Caenorhabditis elegans: one gene and its partners. The protein of the gene in region 2 interacts with the protein of the main gene of each other region in a pairwise test. Each region holds a gene or a part of one and is shown on either strand. Other genes may lie near its edges. The genes, in order: snt-2, T11B7.1, pqn-71 and F59C12.3.

Region 1 (4,596 bases), on a different chromosome or scaffold from region 2:
AATATCTAATTTATCTAATATTCAAGCTCCCCGGCTCTTCATATTTTTGCCTCAATGGATTAGATTCATCTTCTTCATCTTTTTCACTGCCGAAAATTGAGCGGATTATCCATATTCTATCATTATGTTAAAGGTGATCAAAAGATGCTGAGTTGCACATATTTGGATTAGTAAGGATTTGACGGCACACAGTTCTTGTCTGCATCCGACAAGAAAAGTTATCTTAAATACCTGGAATTGTCGAAAAAAAGTTCCCCGGAAAAATGACGTTTTTTTGCGGAAAACCCCCCTTGCAGGTGGAATTAGTGAAGTTGGTTGTGGTTGTGGAAAAAAAAGAAAAAGATTGGAAAAATTGTTGGCTTCGTGTCGTTTTCTCATTCCAATATTAGGAAAAAAGCAAAACTCGACAAAAAATTAATGAGATCGCTAGTTTTGGATAATTCTGATAAGACAGCGCAAAAACAACGCAAGTAGCGGAAAAACCGAATGTTCAATATTAGTAGCAACGTAGGGCTGAGGGTAGGGCTTGCCAGAAGGGCCTAGTAGCTAGAATCTCATATTTTTGTCAAAAAAGGCTAATTTTTTTTCGGTGGGTCTGATTAAGGGCTCTGGCAATCTGAATACTATATGTCTTAGACTTCACAAGTTTTGGCTCTTCTGGAGAATTTAGAAGGTGGAATTTATTAAACCTCATATTTAAACTTGAGTAAAACTTCCACAACTTCACGGCAACTCGATATTGTCGGTAATTGCCAAGTTCCGAAAATCTGAAATGCCGGAGAACTCCAGACACGCGGTTCTGACTTCCTTCATAAATTGAAATGTAAGAGTTTGCCGAACTAGGCCATTTTGGCTCGGCCAAGTCCTGGGTAGACTTACGGCGTGTTGCGTGTCGCGTCGCGGCTCGGTTTTAGTTTTAAACCTAAATGTATTTTTGCGTGTGGAGTACACGGCTTTCCCATGCGTTGCCCGGCAGGCGATTGTCAATGGAGCGCGAAAAATGCAACGAGGAAGGCCAGAACCCCGTGTCATCAGACATCAGAAAGTGCTTTTTCTATTCCCGCACTTTATTGTGTGATGCCCCTTTGGTTAGATCGTCGGCGATGCGAAAAATAGGGGGAATTTTTTGTTCGGAATTTCAAATTTCCTCTTCTTCTCCATTTTTTCGGCGCCCTTCCAAGGTTGCCTATCCTTTTCCCCCGAATACGTTTCGGGGAAGGCTCTCGAAGAGCACATCATCGGCTCGGTCGTTGGCGTGTCATGTTGAAGAAAAAAAAAGACAGAAAAGAAGATGTTATGGGAAGTAGAAAAGACATGTTGTATTTTATGAATTGTTTCCGATGTCGTTTGTATTTTGGCGAAGGGGGCTCGGAAAGCAGAAGCTTCTTGGAGGAACACAAACTTGTTTTTTTTTCAGGCGAATGGGGAAGACGAAGCAAAGATGACGGATTTCAGCAGCTTATTTTCGTGGAAAAATACTCTAGAATTGTTAAGCTCGAGCTTAGAGCAGCCACATCATTTACTAGACATTTGGCCGAAAACTCTTTGAATACGTTAGTGGCGAAAATTAGGATTCAACGGTGTTTTTTTTCAGAGAAAATTAAGAAATCTTTTAAAAAAAGGTCGGTTTGTTGGTTTCAATAAGATCTTTTCAAAAATAGAGACGTACAGAAAAAATTAAAACCAAGTGGTTTTTATAAAATTCCTTAATACGTGTTTGTAAAATTCGTTAAAAAGTAACGAGAATCGAAAAGTCCACCCGGATTCAGTCAAAATTACAATGAAACGTGCTTTGTGGCACTTTCAGGAAGGCGCAATGGGTCTCGCCACGCGAAATCCAATTTTAAAAAATTAAAGCTACAGTAATTTTAAAGGCGCATACATATATTATCATATTGGGATTTCTTCACTTTAAATTTTAAATTTTAAAAAATGTTTTGATAAACCAGTGAAAAAAAAATTTTGACTAAATTTTTTTGAAAATTTAAAATTTAAATGGTTTCTACCAGGGGTGGGCGGCAAACGATTTTTTCCGGCAAATCGGCACTTTGCCGGAATTGAAAATTTGCGAGAAATAGGAAAACCGGCAATTTGCCGGAATCGAAAATTTCCGGCAATTTGCCATTTGGGGAACGGCAATTGCCGCCCACCCCTGGCTTGTAGCCACGAGGCAGTGCGAATATATATATGCTTGAATGTGCTTATTTTCGATGAAATAACTCTATTTTCGGTTCTTTTTTTTTACTATTTTAAGTCAATTAGATCCGCATCTCCAAAAAAAGTAACGAATAATTTAATTTTCCACGTCATCAATGGGAAAATGACAACAAATGAATTTTTGATGAGCTTTTTTTCTCCATTTTTGTGCCGCAACACTCACAACTCGTACGAGTGGCCAATGTTTAACGACCCGGCAGTAAAAAAGAGTAGAAGAACCGAGTTAATTCGCTTTTTTGTCCACGTTTTTTCTGTTCTCTCTTGTTAGAATCGAATGATCTACTTTTCGATATTTTTACCAAAAATGTTTTGAAATTTCGTGTTCAGTTGGCGCAATGAGTAGTGTGCACAGTTTGGTGTGAAAACTTTTTGGTTAAACTCCGGGTAGTGTTTTTTAATTTTTTTTCGTTAAATTTTTATTAGGAATTTTTCGAACTAAAAACGAAGTTTTGTCAGCTTTTAGCTCTTTAAGAAAATCAGAATAGCCACTCACCCCATTCGACGTTGGCACGCCACGACGAATCGGACAACACGTCGACAAAATCCGGAATACTGGCGAGCAGACGATTGCTCCGGTCGCCCACATGGTTGAATAATTGATTGTGGCGGTATCAGTGAGAAAATGTTATCAGTGAAATAAAAAAACGGGGAAAAATAGTTAAAATAGTGAGTTTCTAGGGTGTTTTCTCGCTACATAGTACGAAAATCGTGAATAATATAATTAAATTTCAGATTTTTCGAATTTTTTTGTCTGAAAAAATTTTGGAGCACAAAAATGTTCTTTCCTGTCGTTTTTCCATTCAAAAGCGCGGCTCCTCCCTCCTAAACGACCCGAAGGAGGCGGAGCAGTCTTGGTGTGGGTCTCGCCGCGACTTTGACACACGTGAAACGAGTGTGACCGTACCCGAGTGGCGGAGTGTTCTGCAAAAATTGCGTTTTTCTTCCTTTTGGCCTATTTTTCGATGGATTTTTGTGTTTTTTGTTGTTAAAAATTCGAAAATAAATGAATTTTTTGTTGGAAATCAAAATTTCGTGCATTTTCTCACCAAAAACGTCAACATTTTGCTAAAATCGCCCGTATTTTCTGCCTCTTGGCCGAAAATCAAGTTTTTCGATCTATTTTCCATATTTTTGCAAGGAAAACGATTGTTTCCGTAATTATAAGTAGCAGAATTAAATTAGAAGTTTTGTAACTAGTTCTTCTGGAAAGATTTCGAAAAATAACGAAATTTTACGGAAAATGCTGTTGTTGCTTTAATTATCGATTTTTTGACGCATTTCGCTTTTTTTCTCACCGTCTTCTTGTTTTCCGCTTTTTTCCTCCGTTTACAGCTTTTTCGAAACATTTTGCATTCTGAGATGTTAATTTTGTTTCCATTTCAGCTCTCGACAATGGGTTTCCAAAATTTGTGGTTCTCTCACCCACGCAAGTTCGGACCAGGATCCCGCTCCTGGTAAGTATTATTTTCATCAAAAATTTCGAATGCAGATGTCCATTACGAAAAGGCTCTTTACCTTTTGACGTTTAGTTAAATTTGCGAAATAAAATTGATGTCTCGAAGACATGTGCTTCATATTTTGATGCTCATGTTCAAGATCAGCAAACAAACCTGAACTTGGTGTATTTCAAATACATTTATCTGAATTTTTCAGCCGCGTCTGCGCTGGACACCACGGACTTATCCGCAAGTACGGCCTCGATCTCTGCCGTAGATGCTTCCGCGAGCAAGCCAGAGACATCGGATTCAAGAAGGTAAATTTAACTAGATTATGCAAAAAAGGAACCTTATCCAACTAAAATAATATTTAAAAGTTCAAGTAGGATGAGCAGATGTCCATTACGCGAATGCCTGTGCTTTTCGACGTTTAGTTTAGTCTGCAAGATAGAATTGATGTCTCGAAGACAGGTACATCAGCTTTTAGAGTTCCTGTTCAAGATCAGCAAACAAACCTGAACTTACTGCAAATATACTTTAAAATAAATAAGTATTTTATTATCTGTCAACTTATTTTTTTTTCAGCTTGATTGAGCAACCAGCGTCCACGTCTGCAACCGCCTCGTCAAATCTTGTTATTGTTAACTTCATGTCTTCAATCAATAAATTGTTGGCATAATGTCTATGTTATAATTTTATGTGAATAATAAAACAAACGGTTCAAATCTGGAGGAGGACTACTTTTTTATTGGGGAAGGGATAGTAGAAACCGTTCAATTGTAGCAGATGGATCCAGTAGAAGCAGGTGATTGGATAGCCGGTCGGCCACTTCAACTTGTCTTCCTGTCGGGATTAAATCCAGTGAATAAGCCAGCTCACAACAGTATCGTCAATGTCTTCCGGTACATTGAAACATGAAGAACTTCCTCAAACGCCAAAAATA
Region 2 (4,530 bases):
GATGTTACAAAAATCAAATTGCTTTCAAAGATCTAATGAACAGAAATGTAAACTTTGGCTTGTCAAAAGTCAAAAATTTAGGGCATGTTCATCATCTTCCAGCGCCTTCGGTCAACCTAACAACATTTATGATTGTCTAAAAAATCGATAGCATGGAAAAATGACACCCTCGAGGAACATAAATAAGATAATTGTATCATTAGACGCAGAATAATCTCAAAATGATCCAGACTTTACGAACAGAATAAGAAATCTGATATACCCATCGTCTCAACAATCTTCTATCCATTCCAAGCCATGACAAATTTGAAGCGGCAACAGTGAAAAGTGGCCCACCGCTGGCTAATACGTACGGTTTTATAGCGGGCAAACTGAAGGCCGTCTTAGGTCCATTACCGGCTGTTGGACCGTCATTTGTCCACAGGTTGAGAAAGACTTTCAACCTGTTCGGGCTCGTCCGCAGCTGTTATAATTGTGACATTTTTTATACATAAGTTTGTCTTTGGTTCTTGGAAGGACTTATTGGAAGATTTTATTTCAGAAACAAGAACAGTTGGAACAGTGTAAAGTTAATCAGAATAATCAAGAAAATTTGAAAACAAAGAGAAAGTCGGATAAATGGGAAATCATGATATATCGTAGAGCGAATAACAAGAAAATCGTTGATTTGTGAATAGTTAAAATTTTTTAAAATATTAGTCATTGTAAGAAGGTACATTTAATTTCAATGAAATCTCAATTTTCTGATTCGATGCTATTCCTCTGACGAGCTGTCACCATCTGGTAAATCATCAGAAGCGCTGCTTTCAGAACTTTCATCTGATGAGCCTTCTTCCTCTTGAACTTCTTTTAAAGCTTCTAATTCTTTGAACGCATTCTTCAAATTTCCTCGAGAATTTCTGAGACGTTTTCCAAAATTTCTGACAGTCTTCGCCAAATCCTCAGAAATTTCGTTTTTCGGAATGAAATTCTTTTTCAATTCCATCATCTGCTCGTATTGATGTTCAAGCTTTAATTCTAGAGCATCCTTATCTTCAAGAGCATTTTCGTATGACCAACCAAGATTAGCGATTCTGTAATAATTTTTATGTGTTTTTAAGATCAACAAAATATAAATGTTTCGTCAAAACTTACCTTTTTTTCTGATCGTTAATTTGTCTTTGGAACCACTGAATCTCTTGATCTTTCTTATCGTGCACTTCAAGACTTTCCAAAATCAAACGACACTCCTCTTTATGCAACTGCAGCATCTTACATTCTGGTTCAAGTTTTTGATCGTCTGAAAACTTTTGAAGAATTTCAATAAGTCCCTGCAATGTTGGAGTTGGTGAACGATTCTCTGTTTTGTTTCCAGCTGTGAGCTCTCCAATTTTCGCTGTTTGATTATCAAGATAGTTTTTCAATGTATCGTTTTTTCTGAGCAGTTTCTTGTTTTCTTGAGCAGCCCTGAGCAGTCTGGAAAAAGTAATTACGAAACATAAAATGTTTGTTCTTACACTGCCAAACAGATTACTATATCTCGATGGCAGTGCATGTTATGTTTTCGGTCGACTATACAGATAAACATAGTTACCTTGATTCATAGAGCTCTTGTGTCTTCTTTATATCCATTTTAAGAATTTCAATTTCCTTAGCTTTTTTCGAATTCATTTCAAAATTTCCAACAGCTGACTGTAGTCCTTCACAAGTTAACTGAATATTTTTCAGTTTCTGATCAATACTTAGTTCTTCTTTGAATTGTTTCAACTGTTCGGTGAGCTCATCCAATGTTAGAGGATTCACATTTTTTGAATTCTCGTGATTTTGAATACTTTTCAAGTTTTGAAGTTTTTTGAATTTTTCAATTTGAACTTCAAAATCATTTTGCAAGTCAGCATAGTTGTCTTGCAAATTGGAACATTCATTCTCGAGTGTATAGATTTTTACAGAAAGTGCCTGTCTCATATCATCATACTTAAGCTTCTGACGGCTGAGTGTTGAATCTAACTTCTGGATTCTGAAACAAGTTTAATCTTACAAAAATTACGAAAAAACAGTATACTTACGTTTCCAAATGTTCATCCTGTTTTTCATTGAACTTTTTTTCCAAATCCTTGTAGTTTTTATCTTTTAATTGAATACTTTCAAGCTGTTCTTTAATCATTTGCAAATGAGGAATGGAAAAATTAATAGTTTTACTTTGTTTCTCAACTTGGACATAGCTTATGGTATCATGAAGAATATCAATTATTCCTTGAACTGTAGGCTTAGACGCTGAAATTTAATATACATTCACGAGGAAAAGTATTCAGAGGACTGCGTGACTATCGATGTTTCAGATTTTCAGACGGGATACATAAAACGCAAGTAGAAAAACCCGCATGACGTCACACTTTTTCTTTCATTCTCCGTAATTTTCCAGGAACAAATTGCGAATGGAACCTATCATACACGCGTGCGCGAGGCGATGTGACAGCTTCGATTAATTATACAAAAAAAAACGTCAGAAATAATATCATTCCTGTTATGAAACACTGTGATTTCAAAAATGTTTACCTTCCAATTGTCTTGTTTGCGGTGCTTGACTTTCTCCTTTTGAAACACTTGGTTTGATTCCTGACATTACTCTCTGAAAATCCAAAATCCTTGCACTAAAACAGATTTAAAAAAAAGAAGTTAAATGAAACCGTATTCATATCTTATAATATCATAACTACAATCATTTCCATACAATTCGTGCATTATAAACAAGAAAACAAATGAAAACCCTTCAAAAAACTCGATTAGCTACCGATATCAAGGCACTTTGGATGTAAAAAATAATAAATTAATCAGTCATCTCTTGACGATGACGTATGGGCAAGTCATCTGGATGAAAACTATAAAACAGAACGCTCATGTATATTATCGACTCGAAAAGAAGGTTTCCAAAAATTATCGATTCAATTTAGGTTTAGCAGATCTACGAATATACATTAAAAAATACTTGAGGAAAAGTTACTTAATTAGGGATCCTACAGAACTGACAGACCTAGAATAAAAGTAAAAAAGATTAAAAACGAGAAGAGGGAGGGAGAAAACACCGAATGCAAATGAATGGTATGTTGGAGATTTGTAGTGTTGGAAGAAACAGTGAACCACACTCTCCACGGGCAACGTACAGGGGTCATCTCATCTATTTGTTACGACGTCGAAGAGGCTCGCCACTCTGTAAGTAATATTGATTACTTGGTTTTGTGTATCGCATCCGATATCGGCCGAATGTACAATGAGATTTTTTTTCGAAATACCACTATTTTAGATGTCGCCATAAAAAATGTTTGAAGGTAACATAGATAACATTTTCAGAAGAATTTAAGTTTGAAAACGTGATCAATTAGGTTTTGGGCATCTGGAAATCATATGAAAAGCTAAATTTATACCTGTCGTACGACGACATCAAACGCTGATCCAGTTGATTGTAGTGGTACTGCCACGGATTCTGGCACAAACGAAGACGCGGTTGAGATTCGTGACGACGTTGACATTCTGGATGATGGGCGGGATGAGAGAGCTGGTACATTCGATGACATTGGCACTCGTGGAGAAGTTCGACGAGCCGCCGCTGAGAAGGTTTTTAGTTTCAAGTGAAGTTCTTCAATTGTCTTGGTCTGCTCGGCAATTTGATGACGATACTCCGCGATAAGACCTTCACGATCAGAAATCGTCAGATTTTGAACTCGCATATCCTGTTGAGCATTTGCAAGTTGTTGTCTGAAATAATATTAATATAAATCTATATTTAATTTTCTGATTGTGTGTTACTTTATTTTTTCGATTTTCACATGTCCGGAACATGCTATCAAATACTTTAGTTTAAAATAAAATTTCGTTCTATACACCAATTCATTTAAACGTTAAAAAGATTTAACTCACCTCAGCTTGACTAGCTCGACGTTTGATGTCTTCTGCTGTTGATCTTCTTCAGCAGGATTCTGAAGTTGTGCTTCCAGTTCTGCAATTTTTGCTGTCAGAACTTCGCATTTCTCACGATACTTGTCCATTTGAACGGCGAACTCGTCAGCGTGATCCAATAATCGAGCTTCCGAATCCTTAAGCAATCCATTCTGCTCCGAAACAATGCGAAGTTCTTCTTTTAACTGTTCCAACTCTTCCAGAGACTTCAGATCAGCCGATTCGGATGCCTCGATAAGCTGTTGCCGTAGATTAGAGACAAGATTTTGAAGTTTCACAATAGTATCATTCCTATTTGAAATCTCGATTTCCAATGCCTTCTTTACTTCTTCAATTTCATTTTCATTTTTGTTCCACGCATCATCATCATTCCATCCTGAAGCCGAATTTTCAGCCTCGACTAGCTTCTGTTTGGTATCTTCCAGTTCTGATTGAACGTCATACAACTTTGATTGGAGAGCAGAAATTGTTTCGGTTAACTGAAAACACAACAAGTTACAGTAATATAGATATTATGATTCATGAAATTTTTCTACAGTACCCGTTCACACGTTTTTCGCTCACCTCAATCTCATTATCTTTCAGTCTCTGTAGCTC
Region 3 (3,737 bases), on a different chromosome or scaffold from region 2:
AAATTACTAATAAACTTTCCCCTTCTTTTCATTGAAAAGTGCGAAAAAAGTTGGACATCTATTTATATATATGTAGCGATATGCATTTGAAGGGGTAACTTTTTGTCTCTTTTTCTCAATGCACTTTTCACCTCTTCTTGCTCTCACTCAACTACTACGTAGTAGCAGAACAAACAACAGGGACCAAGTGGGTCGAGTTTTCGATTTTTCCTTGATTCTGAAAACAAAAATTCGAAAAATACTAATCAATTATAAATTTTAAAACATTTTCGGTCATCTTCTATAAAATCTTATCAACATAATTTCAATACAACAATAGTTTTCTTAATATTTCTAATTGTTTTTCCGGGTCTCGAAATGATTATTCCTGAAAAACAGAGCTCGAAACTACAGTACTCTTTAAAGGTACATCCACCTTTTTTCCATTCAACAAAAAATGTTGTGTGAATACCAGGTACCAAATTTATTAGCTTCAGCACTTTTGAAAGGACCCATTTAACAAAAAAACTGGTAGTGAGAAACATTTATTCATCATTTCCTAGATTTACAGAAATACAATCTTCAAGAATTTTACTTCTTCAAACAACACTGCCCGGAGACATTTCCGCACGGCGAATAGTTTTGTTGACATCCGCACTGACTATTTTGCATTGGTTGACATGCCATTTGGGCCGGCTGATTACAGGATTGATTGCAGGATGTCGAGCAAGCTGGAGCACACTGTTGGGAGGCCGTGGTTCTAGTTTGGCACTGCTGTTGGCATTGTTGCTGGCACTGGGGAACACATTGGGAGGTCTGTGGGGAGGCTTGCACGTAGATGGTTATGGTTTGAGTGTTGCTGTTCTGGCAGGAGTTCTGACACTGCTGGCAGTTGGTGGAAGTTTGTTGAGAGCATTGTGGAGCACATTGTTGTTGGCATTGAGTTTGTTGGTAAGGGTTGTAGTAGTTTTGGTTTTGGTACTGGTTCTGGTTGTACTGATTTTGGATCTGGTTTGGATTTTGGTACTGATTTTGGTTCTGGTACTGATTTCCTTGCTGATTGTACCCTCCATACTGCATTTGATTATACGGATCCTGATTATTGTACATCATATTTCCTGTGGACCCACATTCCTGCTGGCACTGCTGCTGACAAATTGGCTGGCACTGTTGCGCGGTCTGCTGTTGAGTACACTGCTGCATGCATCGGTTCTCACACTCTGGAAGACAACTTTGCGACGCTGGAATTGGTGTGGAAGTCATCGGATTGCAAGACGATGTCTGGCAGGATTGCTGACACGTTGGCTGGCATTGAGTGTTGGTGTTAGATTGGCACTGTTGACTGCAGGACTGTTGACAAGCAGGCATGCATTGAGACGTCTGCAATTGATATTGCTGGCTGCTGGCGCAAGAGCATGGAGTTGAAGGTTGGCAGGAGCAGCTGTATTGTTGTGAGGCCTGCTGGCAGGAGCAGGTCGGCTGAACCGATTGAGCACATCCGCAGGAGGCTTGACGGGTTTCGCGGATTGAGGAGGCCTGAAATCAAATTGAGTTGAGAAACACGTCGTTAATTGGAATGCTTCTATCAATTTTAAACGTCACTACGAGATTTTTATCGGCCCACATTAAAACAGGGTCGGTCTACTTCCATATACGGGAATACAGATATTACTCTAAAAAAGGAGATTTTTCAGTTAATGATGTCGAAAATTGAAATTCGAAGAGGTTCAAAAACAGTCGTTAAAGCGCCAATTCACATTTCAAGTAGTTTTGTTAACACGAAATTGCGAAAAGAAAATACAATTATTAGGCTTTCTCTCAGCACTTAGAAATTATAAATTTTCAAATTCCTTACAATTAGTTTAAAATTGAAAAACTAACCTGAGCCACAGCCAAAGCAACTGCAAACAATATAATCACACAACGCATCGCTCAATGGGATTCTGTGAGTATACCCCGTGTAATTCTTGCCACTTTTATACTTTTTCATGTTGTTTACCAACCTACACTTTTGTTTCTAGTTAGACACGTTTTTTTTTCTTGAAAATCCTAATCAAAAGTTTACAATGTTTGCATTTTTCATTGACCCGATAAATCAACTTATCTTTTGTTTGTTTGTTGAGCATGATGGAGGAAAACTGGTTCTTAATCAGAGTTATTCATGTTTGTTCAGTTATTTTTGAAATAAATATATAAGTTTGAAGTAAAACAGAATTAAATTCTCAATTTATTATTCATTCCCCATAATCGTTTATTTGCATTACACTCTCCTCTGGCCAGCGCTATCTCTGTTCCTCTCAATTGTGTATACCTCCGTGAAGCATGTCTCTCGTGGCCGAATGGTCTAGTGGTATGATTCTCGCTTTGGGTGCGAGAGGTCCCGGGTTCAATCCCCGGTTCGGCCCATTCCTTTTGAAAAAAATTGAGAAAGAAACAATTTTTCAACAATGAAAAAAAAAACAAAAAAATCAAGCCACCTAGGGGACTCGAACCCCTGACCTTAAGATTAAAAGTCTCACGCTCTACCAACTGAGCTAAGGAGGCCACGGCGGCGGTGTTAGAATTGGTCTTTAGAAAACGGAATCGGGAGAGAATCGAGAGGCGCGCCTGGTGGTCAACTAGTACATCTAGTTGGCATGGAAAATTTTAATGTTTTCAAACATAAATATGTATTAATTGAACAAATATTTGTGAAAAATTTTGCATAAAAAATTGCTGTATAAGGTGTTACAACGGCTTTAAAGTTTAGTTTTCAATTATTTTTAATTGAAAATTTGACGCAAAAATGTTTAATTTCATCTTTCTAGTGTAAAGTTTATATTCAGTAATTTTTTTTCTCGATAACATAACTGAACTGTGTTGTTTCAAATAAAATATCTTCTATTCAGCAGATTTTCAAAACCGAAAAAAAATCCAGAATTTCAACACATCGATGACCAATTTAGTCTCATTTCCTGCCGTCACTTTCCCTCATTCCCGATTTTCTCAGTTTTCATTTCTGTTTCCCCTCCTTAAAAAGCGTCTATTCAAAAGGGATTTCCGTCGATCATAACCAGACGATATCGCTTAAATCGATCTAATAATGTTGGAATGTCCATTCTCCCCCCTCACCCGTTTCCTCACTTCTTTGCCTCCCTGTTGTTCTTGTTTTCTCCCGTATTGTTTTCCTAAATCTCGGACAAAAACTAGAGGCCTAAAACGTGGGCCTGATGAGGCCCTTACTCTCATGTTTCCCCGTGATTTTCGCGGTTTTTGGGCCGATTATTGCGGTTAAGCCCGTATGGAAGACGCCCGTCTCTGAGCCGAATCCAAATGCGAATCTCGAAGTTTTAAAGGGACACTCGAATTTGGCGAAGGTGAGTTTTTTTTTCAGAAATTGTTTTTGTAAATTCTGGTTTCTCTCGTGAAATAGTAGCATTCGTAAAACTTTAATTGAAAAATAAAACGCTCCAGCTGAGGCTCGTGTGTTGAACTAAACATTTTTGGTATATTGAATTTTAAAACAGGGGGACTAACTATAAGATTTAAAGGGATACCGAGAAATCCAGTTTTTTTTAATTTTAAAAGTATTTTAATTCAAACAACTTGGAACAGCTGCTCATGCCTTACTGGTCACACATTTTCACTCAAAAAACAGTAATTGTGGTTAAAACTCTTAAGAGCAGTGACGTCATAAATTGTCTTACACGGAAGGTGTCAAAATTTAAAAACTTTTGAAGCTTTTGAAATTCGGTTTCGACAATGTTCAGGCACCGGTA
Region 4 (7,705 bases), on a different chromosome or scaffold from region 2:
ATTTTCTATTCAATAACCCATATATTAAATCAATAATCACTAACGCATAAAATGATCCTAAAATACTTTTGATGATTTTCAAATGATTTGTTCAAGGAAACTTAAAGCAATTTATGTGAAAATTCGATAAAACTCAGTATCAAAGAAAAAATAAAATAAAACCAAATAAAACTAAATAAAACTAGGTAAAACTAAGTAAGTAAGTAAAATCGAAAAAGATTCTAAAATATTTAAAAAAATCAGAAGTCAAAAATCCAATTCTACAAGATGATAAACCGACGAATTAATTTTTGTTCGTAATTCCTAGAACTACTGTGTTTTTCATTGCAGTATTTCTTGCAATACCATTTTTTGACTGTTTATATTTGAAATTCAATATACAAAACTGGAATTTACGTAGGATTCAAACAAAAATGTGCACATTTAGAAACAAAATTATACGAGCATTTTGAAGACGCTGGGAATCATAGAAGATCCATGAAAAATACCATGGGGTGCAAAATTGATACAAAACATACCATACCTAAAATTATTAAACGAAAAACTACACATTAAATATCAAAATAGTTTTAAAAAAATTCGTCATATAAAACATATTCTCTTTCCTCATATTTTTGTTTCGAAGTTTTTGTTTCTATTGTTTATGTTTTCGGCTAGCTTCATCATATTTTGCTTTTCATCCTGCCCATTTGTTGTTCAGTACACATGATTCAAAAACAAAAAAACTGGAAAAAACAGCAAAAACATAAGTTTCTTCATTTTGGATTTCGACCACGTCAGAGATTAACACGGATAAGCCGCGATAATCAGAACTAAACTAAACGATTTTGGAAAGAAGGTCTTCCACACGAACGCGTGTAATTATATAATTAGGAACTTGCATTTCGGGTCAGGTCACTTGAAACCTTTTAGTGTAGTTTAATCGAAACTGCGTTTGACCGCCCGAGACGGGTTTGTGTTAGTTTTTTGTTGTTGAGTATTTGTGACTTATACCAGAAATTGTCACTTTTAGTTTGGTCTTACAGTTTAGAGTATTGGTATATTATCAAATTAGATTTAATTCAATTTTAAACTAATGAAAATGTTTCTACATTGTATGTATTAGCTCACGAAGTGTCTTCTTATCATTCGTAAAATTTGGGAACATGTTGCACTGGCAACAATATTCATGGTTTAGTTTTGTTTAATTTTTTTCCAGAATACATATAATTTTGTATCATTTTTTCATGTATTCTTGTGGCGTCAATGTGTCTCATTTTGGTTTGATCTACGTAGACCTACAAAAAATGCAGGAGTTCAGACGCAGAGTTCTCAACTGATTTTGCACGGTTAAGAACGCGCTGGCGTCAATTTTTTTTCGATTGAAAAACTCCCGCATTTTTTGTAGATGAAACCGTAATGCCTGACACCGTGGGCCTGACACCACGTTTGTATTTGCATTCAAAATATTCATTCATTCAAGATGTGAAGTTAAAATTCATGTTAGTATTAGCTTCATGTAGTTTAGTTGAAAAATGACCACGTGAGAATTACGTTATTGATTAAATATTTCTAGGTATGATTGCCATATTAGCACCCAAATAAATGTCTAATTTTTCTCACCTATTTTTTTCTCGTTCTACATTCAATCTTGATGATTCACTATTTAATCGAAACTAATCTCAGGGTGAATGAATCGAGGGGACGTGATAGATCCGCGCTCGTCGGATGGCACATCATCGGATCAGCGACGAGTGCATGCAGTGCCACCGACACCCATGTATCAGGGAGAGACGAACATTTTAGACTCACTTCTAAAGGAGGCTCAGTTGAATCCAAGTCTGAAAGCGAGTGGTGAGCAATATCGAACCAGGGGTCCTGCAATTCGAAAAACTATTTTTCAGTGATGAACCACCAGGCTCAAACAAAAAGCAAGGATGACGACGAGAAGCGGTTGCAGAAGATGCTCGAAAAATATCAGCTTGAAATGAACATGCAAAGAGCAAACAGCCGGAAGGATTTACATGGAAGTGCAGGACGTGCGTGTGACATTTTTTGTTTTTTTTCTGTTTTTGGTGGATTGATGAAAATAGTATATTATTTCAGCATCACCTATCAGTCATTCTCAGCCATGTCTTATTGCGAGTGGATCAAGATCGTCAGAGTAAGTATTGGTTTTATGATGTTTTTGAAACGTTATACGGTAAACTGTAAAATTTTTTTTGAATGTATCAATAACTTTATCCACAGTGTTTCCCACTATGCATTAATTTCAGCCACACTTTTTAAATAAGGAAATTTGTAGCATTTTTTTTTTCATTTTATAAAATTATAAAAATCGTAGAAAACATTTTGGTGAATTTAATAAGTAGTAAGTGACGAATACTGAAAAATTGCTAGATTTCTCTCTTTTTTTTTTGTGAATAAAAAATTCAAAAATTATAACAAGAGTTTCATTTTTATATTTAATCACTATATTCGTATGGAAAAACTTTTAAACAACTTCCGCACAGGTTTTTAGCTAAACGATTATCTAAAATTAAAACTTCCTACTTTCAAGTTGCATTTCAAAAAACAAACAAACTTTTTTGACAAACTCAACATTTTTCCTGAGATATTTTTTTTACAAAAAAAAGCTTGACCTTCTTCTTTTAAACATTAATAATTTCAGTATTCCCCCAAATGAATCAAAAATGAGCACATCTGCCTATCAGCGTAGGGCATCTGCATCTGGAGATCAAGCACTTGACGTCCCCACATTGAGCCAAACTAACAGAGTAAGAACTTCAACAAGCAACAGCAAAACAAACAATTATTTTAGGGAGTATCCAGCAACCAGAAGCTCATTCAAATTCTCCGCGAGGAGAATGTGCACTTGAAAAAAGAGCTCGACGCTTTCAAGCGCAGTCTTTCAAAACTACAACAGGTTTGTTGGAAGTTTCAAAATAGTGGGAAACCTAAATGCTTGCAGATTGAATACTCATATGCTCGACTGGAAAAAGAATACGAATACTTGGCAAATGAACGAAAAAAGCAAGAAAATTTAGAGCTGAACGTGATTATTCAATTGGAAAAGTCTGTAAAAAAGTAAGTTGGTTGAAAATCTTGTCGGTAAAAAGAGACAACAATTTTCTGATATTTATATCTAATGAAGGCAATATAAAAAAGTTTCCATTTAAAAATGAATTGAAAACTATTTCACAAAATTCACGAGCAGCACTTTTTTGTTGTTTGGGGCAAACTAGACAAACATTGAACACAACTAATATCATTGAAGTTCACAACAATAATGATTTGATTAAACAAACTTGGGCAAAATACTCTTCGCATTTGGCTCTTGCAACTTGCCCAAGTTTGGCCCAAAAAATCTTAACTTGGCTTAGAAGTTGGCTAAACTTGAGAAAAAGGATTGAGACTGCACCAGAGTTTAACCAAAGCCGAACTCTACTCTTACCCTACTTTAAACCCAACTCTTGCCAAACTTTGGCCCAAACTTTTCTTGTTTCGTTTCAAACTTTGGTAGAAGTCTGGCGAGAGTTGGGTGAAACTTGTGTTGAACTTTGGTGTAATTTTTGCCGAAGTCTTGCCTAACTTTTGGCCAAGTTGCGCCAATCCATGTTGATATTTTGTAGGACAAAGTTGGGCAAGAAGCCAGAACCAAATGCCGAGTAAGCAAAAAAAAGCTTATTTCATACAAAGTTTTACACGGGCATATTTTTCTGAAATTTTACAATATTTTTATTTTAAAAAGTTTATCCAAAAAAAAAACTGACAAGCGGCAATATATCAAACAAACATCCAATCAACAGGAAAATCCATTATCTTCTAAAAATCTTAGTTTCAGACTTACCATCGAAAGAGACGACTTGCAAATGCGGCTGGAAAAAGCAAGTACTGAACCAACGATGGTGGCGAACCTGATGTTAAACGAAATTCAGCAGAGTGAGGAGAAAAAAAGAAATAAATTTGATACAATAGAACTGGAAACAGAGAAGCAGAATGAGAAATATGAAAAAAAAAACGAATAAAATACTTATACAATTGATTTTTTTCCGATTCAGGGCAAGAACTCTTCGCATGCAAAGAGCGGCAAAAAATGGAGATTGAGGCACAGAATCAGACGTTGGAGGAGCAACGAAATCATATTGCAATGCTTGAGAAGGCACTCGCCAATTCACAAGAGAGATTGGCGAAGCGGGAAAAAGTATGGAATATTTGTGGGAGAATGTGCTGAGCGGAATGGATAACATTTCCAATTTATTTATGGGAAAATGGGGGGAGAACAAAAGTATAGGACCACAACAGTGTACTTTTGATAAAAGTGAACAGTTGTTTGGGTATTTTGTGAATATGGAGAATTTCTGAACATATAGACTAAAAATGTTTTCAAATGAACGAAATTCGTAATGAAACTTCTCCAAAAATTTAAAATTTTTTTTTCCTGACTGTTAGCTAAAATCTCTAATTTAGAATATTTTACCGTGTCGCAGTAGTCGGAAATTGAAGTTTTTGAATTATGATCTCACTTCGTTGATTATGGTACATTTAGAGCCCATTGGTGGCCAGGTTTGGTCACCTTTGGCCACTTTTTCGGTTTTTAAGGATTTTGATCAACATGACTTCATAACGAGACAACCCAAAAATAAATAAAAAATTGTCTCACTAGCCGGAAATCAATTTTTACTTGAAATAGATTTTTAACAGTTGTCTCATTTTTTTTGTTTTTGATGAGACACTCCAATTGATATAATAATGAATAAAAGTGAAACGCGAAAAAAATTTGCAAACTGACGTGGGAAAATAAGAAATGAAAAAAAACTTCCATGTGATACAAACAACAATTGAAAACGTGCTGTGTTTAGAAACATTCAGAACTTGTCTATCAATTTTTTTTCTATTTTCAAGGTAATTTTAAAGGCACTCAAATAGTTATGTACCATTACTTTTGCATTCATATTCAAAAAATATTGCGAAATTCAAATTTTAATTTAACTTTGCAATATACCTTGCACTTCCGGACTTCTCTAAAAAATGTTTTTTGCTTTCTTAACTTACATTAAAAATATTTTTTAAAGCTCCCAAATCAAAACTGTTTTCTTGATAGTACGTTATCTTTTTTTTGAAATTAAAATTCAATAAGAAACACTTTTTCTAGAAATGCGAAGAATTGTCCGCTGTAGTGGCACACGCTGATGAGCTGCGAAAGCAACTAAACGAAGTATGGGAAGAACAACATCGGAGGGATCAGATGGTTGAGTCGGAACGGGCTCAGTGGGAAATGGAGAAGACTCAGCTAAGAATGCAATTGAACAAAGACACATCACTCACTGGAAGTCTTAAGGTTTGTCTCGAAACAGGGAGAGAAATAGTAGTAAATGAAAGTAATGTGGGGTGTGCTAGGAAAAGGGGGGGGGGGGGCGACAACATTTGAACCGGTTCCCGATTATGGGGTTAAATGTCCGGTAATGAAAGTTTTATTGATATAGATCAGCACCGGTCTCAGTATTTTTTTTCTGAAAATTAGATGGGACGCCTATAGGTTAGTACATTTGAAAACGTTTGCAGAGGGTCTAAAGAGCGTCATCATTTTTCTAATATATACCATTAAAAAATGGAGAATTAAAAATTTTTCTAGCATCTCATAATTTTTTTACTGGAAATTAAAATTATAAACTATTATTATTAGTTTATCTTCTATAACAATCTTATCCTAGATATTGCCGTCTAAGCCGTCTTTGTACATAGTAGTACATAAGCCCTGAAATAGAACATGCCAGAACATCTATAGAATTACTCATGGAATTACTAACCACTACTCATTTGCATAATCATCAATTTTGCAGCGAACCACTACTCCCGGCAGCACAGAGGATCTTATTCGAATGCGAAAGAGCATTCAATCAAAAGACGACAAGATTCAGCAACTCGAAAGAATGGTGAACGATTTGCGAAAGTTTGTTTTTTTTTCTTTCTCTCTTCTTTTATTCTCTTCGTTTGTTGAAGAACTGAGCCGAAAACGGAAATGGAGAGCAGAATTGAAAAAGCTTTTTTTAGAACTCACGGTGACAAAACTGAGCAACGGAAGTCAACTCTTGCAACAATAACTGACAACTTTGAAACCCAGGTGGACAAATTGAAAGAGGAGAGTTATGAAAAGGTGAGGCAAGAACTGCTGCTAAATTTTTTATACAAAATTTAAAACAAGTGAAAACATTTATAAGGGATCTTTTCAAAAATAGAGACGTTACTTTTCAAGGTTACGTGTTTTCTCACAGAAAATGTTTTCAATAAATTGTTTAAAGTTTCCCAGTTGCCCCTTATACATATTAACATAATTTATTGTTACATATACTATATAGCACTAAATTTTCGGTCATAAACCCAGTTTATAAAAGCCTCAACAACCGCTCTCTTTCGTGTCCTCGGTAGTATAGTGGTGAGTATCCGCGTCTGTCACATGCGAGACCCGGGTTCAATTCCCGGCCGGGGAGAATCTTTTTGCCTAATAACTTTGGGAGTTTAATTCAAGAGAGTAATTTTAGATTGGTATATTTAATTATCGCGCCTAGAATAAATAAAAATGTTTCTGATATTTGATATACTAGAAATGAGCTTTATTTCTATTATAGAGAACATCAGAAAACACACTTTGAAATGAGCTCACAAATTACAACGGGCATATTCGATGAATAATTGATAAATTTTAGGATCTGATCATCAACGAACTGAGGTCGGAGCGGGACAAATATGCAGCAATGGTAGATAAAAGTGAGTATATGAAGCCCTAGTCGGGAAAAAAGAAAGGCAAAGGGGGAAGCGTCGACTGCATTTCTTTTGGCATGTGAAAAGAGCACTCTTCTTCCTCTCTCCTTTTTTTTCTCATTTCTTTTCTTTTTTTCCAGACAGCGGAGACGAGGCACTGAGTAGAATGGAGGAAATTAGACAGAAAATACAGGAAAGGAAGAAAAAAGGTCGAATGGGCGTGACTGGAGGGTAAGACGCAGTTTTATTAATTGCTCAAATAAATCAAATATAATTTCCTTAATTCCCATATTCCAGGCTATCAGAACATGCAAGAACTTCATCGGGCTCGTTGATGCAAAATTCTCTTCATCGGAGGTGAGACAAAAAATTATGAGACCGTTGTTTTTTCTTCCTAGGAAACTTTGCAAAAAGTACTCAAAATTTGAGTTTTCTGAACGAAAGCAAAACTACAGTGAATCTTGAACTTTTCTCTAATTGTAAGTTCCTTTTTAAGTTAGTTTTTGAGTATAAAATTTTCAGTTGAATACTTTCTAGAAACACACATAGGTCAAGCTGAAAATACTAGCTCCAGAATCTATTACGATTCGATAAACATCTTCAAAAGTAACAAACTATACAAAAAAAGTTGCAGATCATCATCTGGATCATCATTCGACCCTGTACCGACTGCTCCAATTCCTTACAATATGTTCAAAAATAGTAACAATAACAAGTCAATACTTGCGGATAACCAATTTTCTTGAATATTCCTCATGCACTAGTCATCGAAATTCTATTTATTATTTACAAACACGCTACCAACAACACACTTTCCTTCTTTGTTACTTTCTGTTACATGCATAATTCAATTTATTTTTCAATTCAAGTTTCCAAAGTCCATTCCTCTTAATACAATTTGTATGTAGTTTTGTTCTTTTAATTTTTAGCCAGTTTAGATGATGTACTTGTATTTTTTCCATCA

The links.
Region 1: the proteins of T11B7.1 (region 2) and snt-2 interact in a two-hybrid assay, tested with the Caenorhabditis elegans proteins (one large-scale study listed by BioGRID).
Region 3: the proteins of T11B7.1 (region 2) and pqn-71 interact in a two-hybrid assay, tested with the Caenorhabditis elegans proteins (one large-scale study listed by BioGRID).
Region 4: the proteins of T11B7.1 (region 2) and F59C12.3 interact in a two-hybrid assay, tested with the Caenorhabditis elegans proteins (one large-scale study listed by BioGRID).

What each region holds. Positions count from the first base shown.
Region 1 is NC_003281.10:790,700-795,295, forward strand, and holds the start of snt-2 (Synaptotagmin 2), read right to left. Parts: upstream 3,035-4,596; 5' UTR 2,804-3,034; coding exon 2,711-2,803; intron 1-2,710. Other genes in the region: rps-29 (Small ribosomal subunit protein uS14), read left to right, coding at 3,610-3,671, 3,871-3,970, 4,239-4,247; trpp-11 (Trafficking protein particle complex subunit 11 domain-containing protein), read left to right, coding at 4,440-4,555. UniProt on the Caenorhabditis elegans protein: Ca(2+) sensor involved in Ca(2+)-dependent secretion of the nlp-40 neuropeptide from intestinal cells. Involved in the defecation motor program, which is a coordinated series of three muscle contractions that occurs every 45 seconds.
Region 2 is NC_003282.8:8,838,797-8,843,326, reverse strand, and holds T11B7.1 (Centrosomal protein of 162 kDa), read right to left. Parts: upstream 2,611-4,530; 5' UTR 2,603-2,610; coding exon 2,536-2,602; intron 2,254-2,535; coding exon 2,046-2,253; intron 1,997-2,045; coding exon 1,574-1,996; intron 1,456-1,573; coding exon 1,135-1,455; intron 1,074-1,134; coding exon 755-1,073; 3' UTR 522-754; downstream 1-521. Other genes in the region: T28C6.11 (uncharacterized protein), read left to right, coding at 3,066-3,189, 3,444-3,664; T28C6.7 (Kinesin motor domain-containing protein), read right to left, coding at 3,155-3,187, 3,402-3,732, 3,895-4,412, 4,498-4,530.
Region 3 is NC_003283.11:15,463,872-15,467,608, reverse strand, and holds pqn-71 (Prion-like-(Q/N-rich)-domain-bearing protein), read right to left. Parts: upstream 1,933-3,737; 5' UTR 1,909-1,932; coding exon 1,861-1,908; intron 1,516-1,860; coding exon 571-1,515; 3' UTR 509-570; downstream 1-508. Other genes in the region: rocf-1 (ZP domain-containing protein), read left to right, coding at 3,189-3,335.
Region 4 is NC_003284.9:16,603,485-16,611,189, reverse strand, and holds the start of F59C12.3 (Angiomotin_C domain-containing protein), read left to right. Parts: upstream 1-1,665; 5' UTR 1,666-1,670; coding exon 1,671-1,833; intron 1,834-1,883; coding exon 1,884-2,018; intron 2,019-2,085; coding exon 2,086-2,143; intron 2,144-2,313; exon of another isoform or gene 2,314-2,538; intron 2,539-2,650; coding exon 2,651-2,756; intron 2,757-2,800; coding exon 2,801-2,905; intron 2,906-2,950; coding exon 2,951-3,066; intron 3,067-3,823; coding exon 3,824-3,921; intron 3,922-4,040; coding exon 4,041-4,183; intron 4,184-5,134; coding exon 5,135-5,320; intron 5,321-5,822; coding exon 5,823-5,932; intron 5,933-6,033; coding exon 6,034-6,136; intron 6,137-6,387; exon of another isoform or gene 6,388-6,480; intron 6,481-6,686; coding exon 6,687-6,747; intron 6,748-6,881; coding exon 6,882-6,972; intron 6,973-7,038; coding exon 7,039-7,098; intron 7,099-7,375; coding exon 7,376-7,487; 3' UTR 7,488-7,705.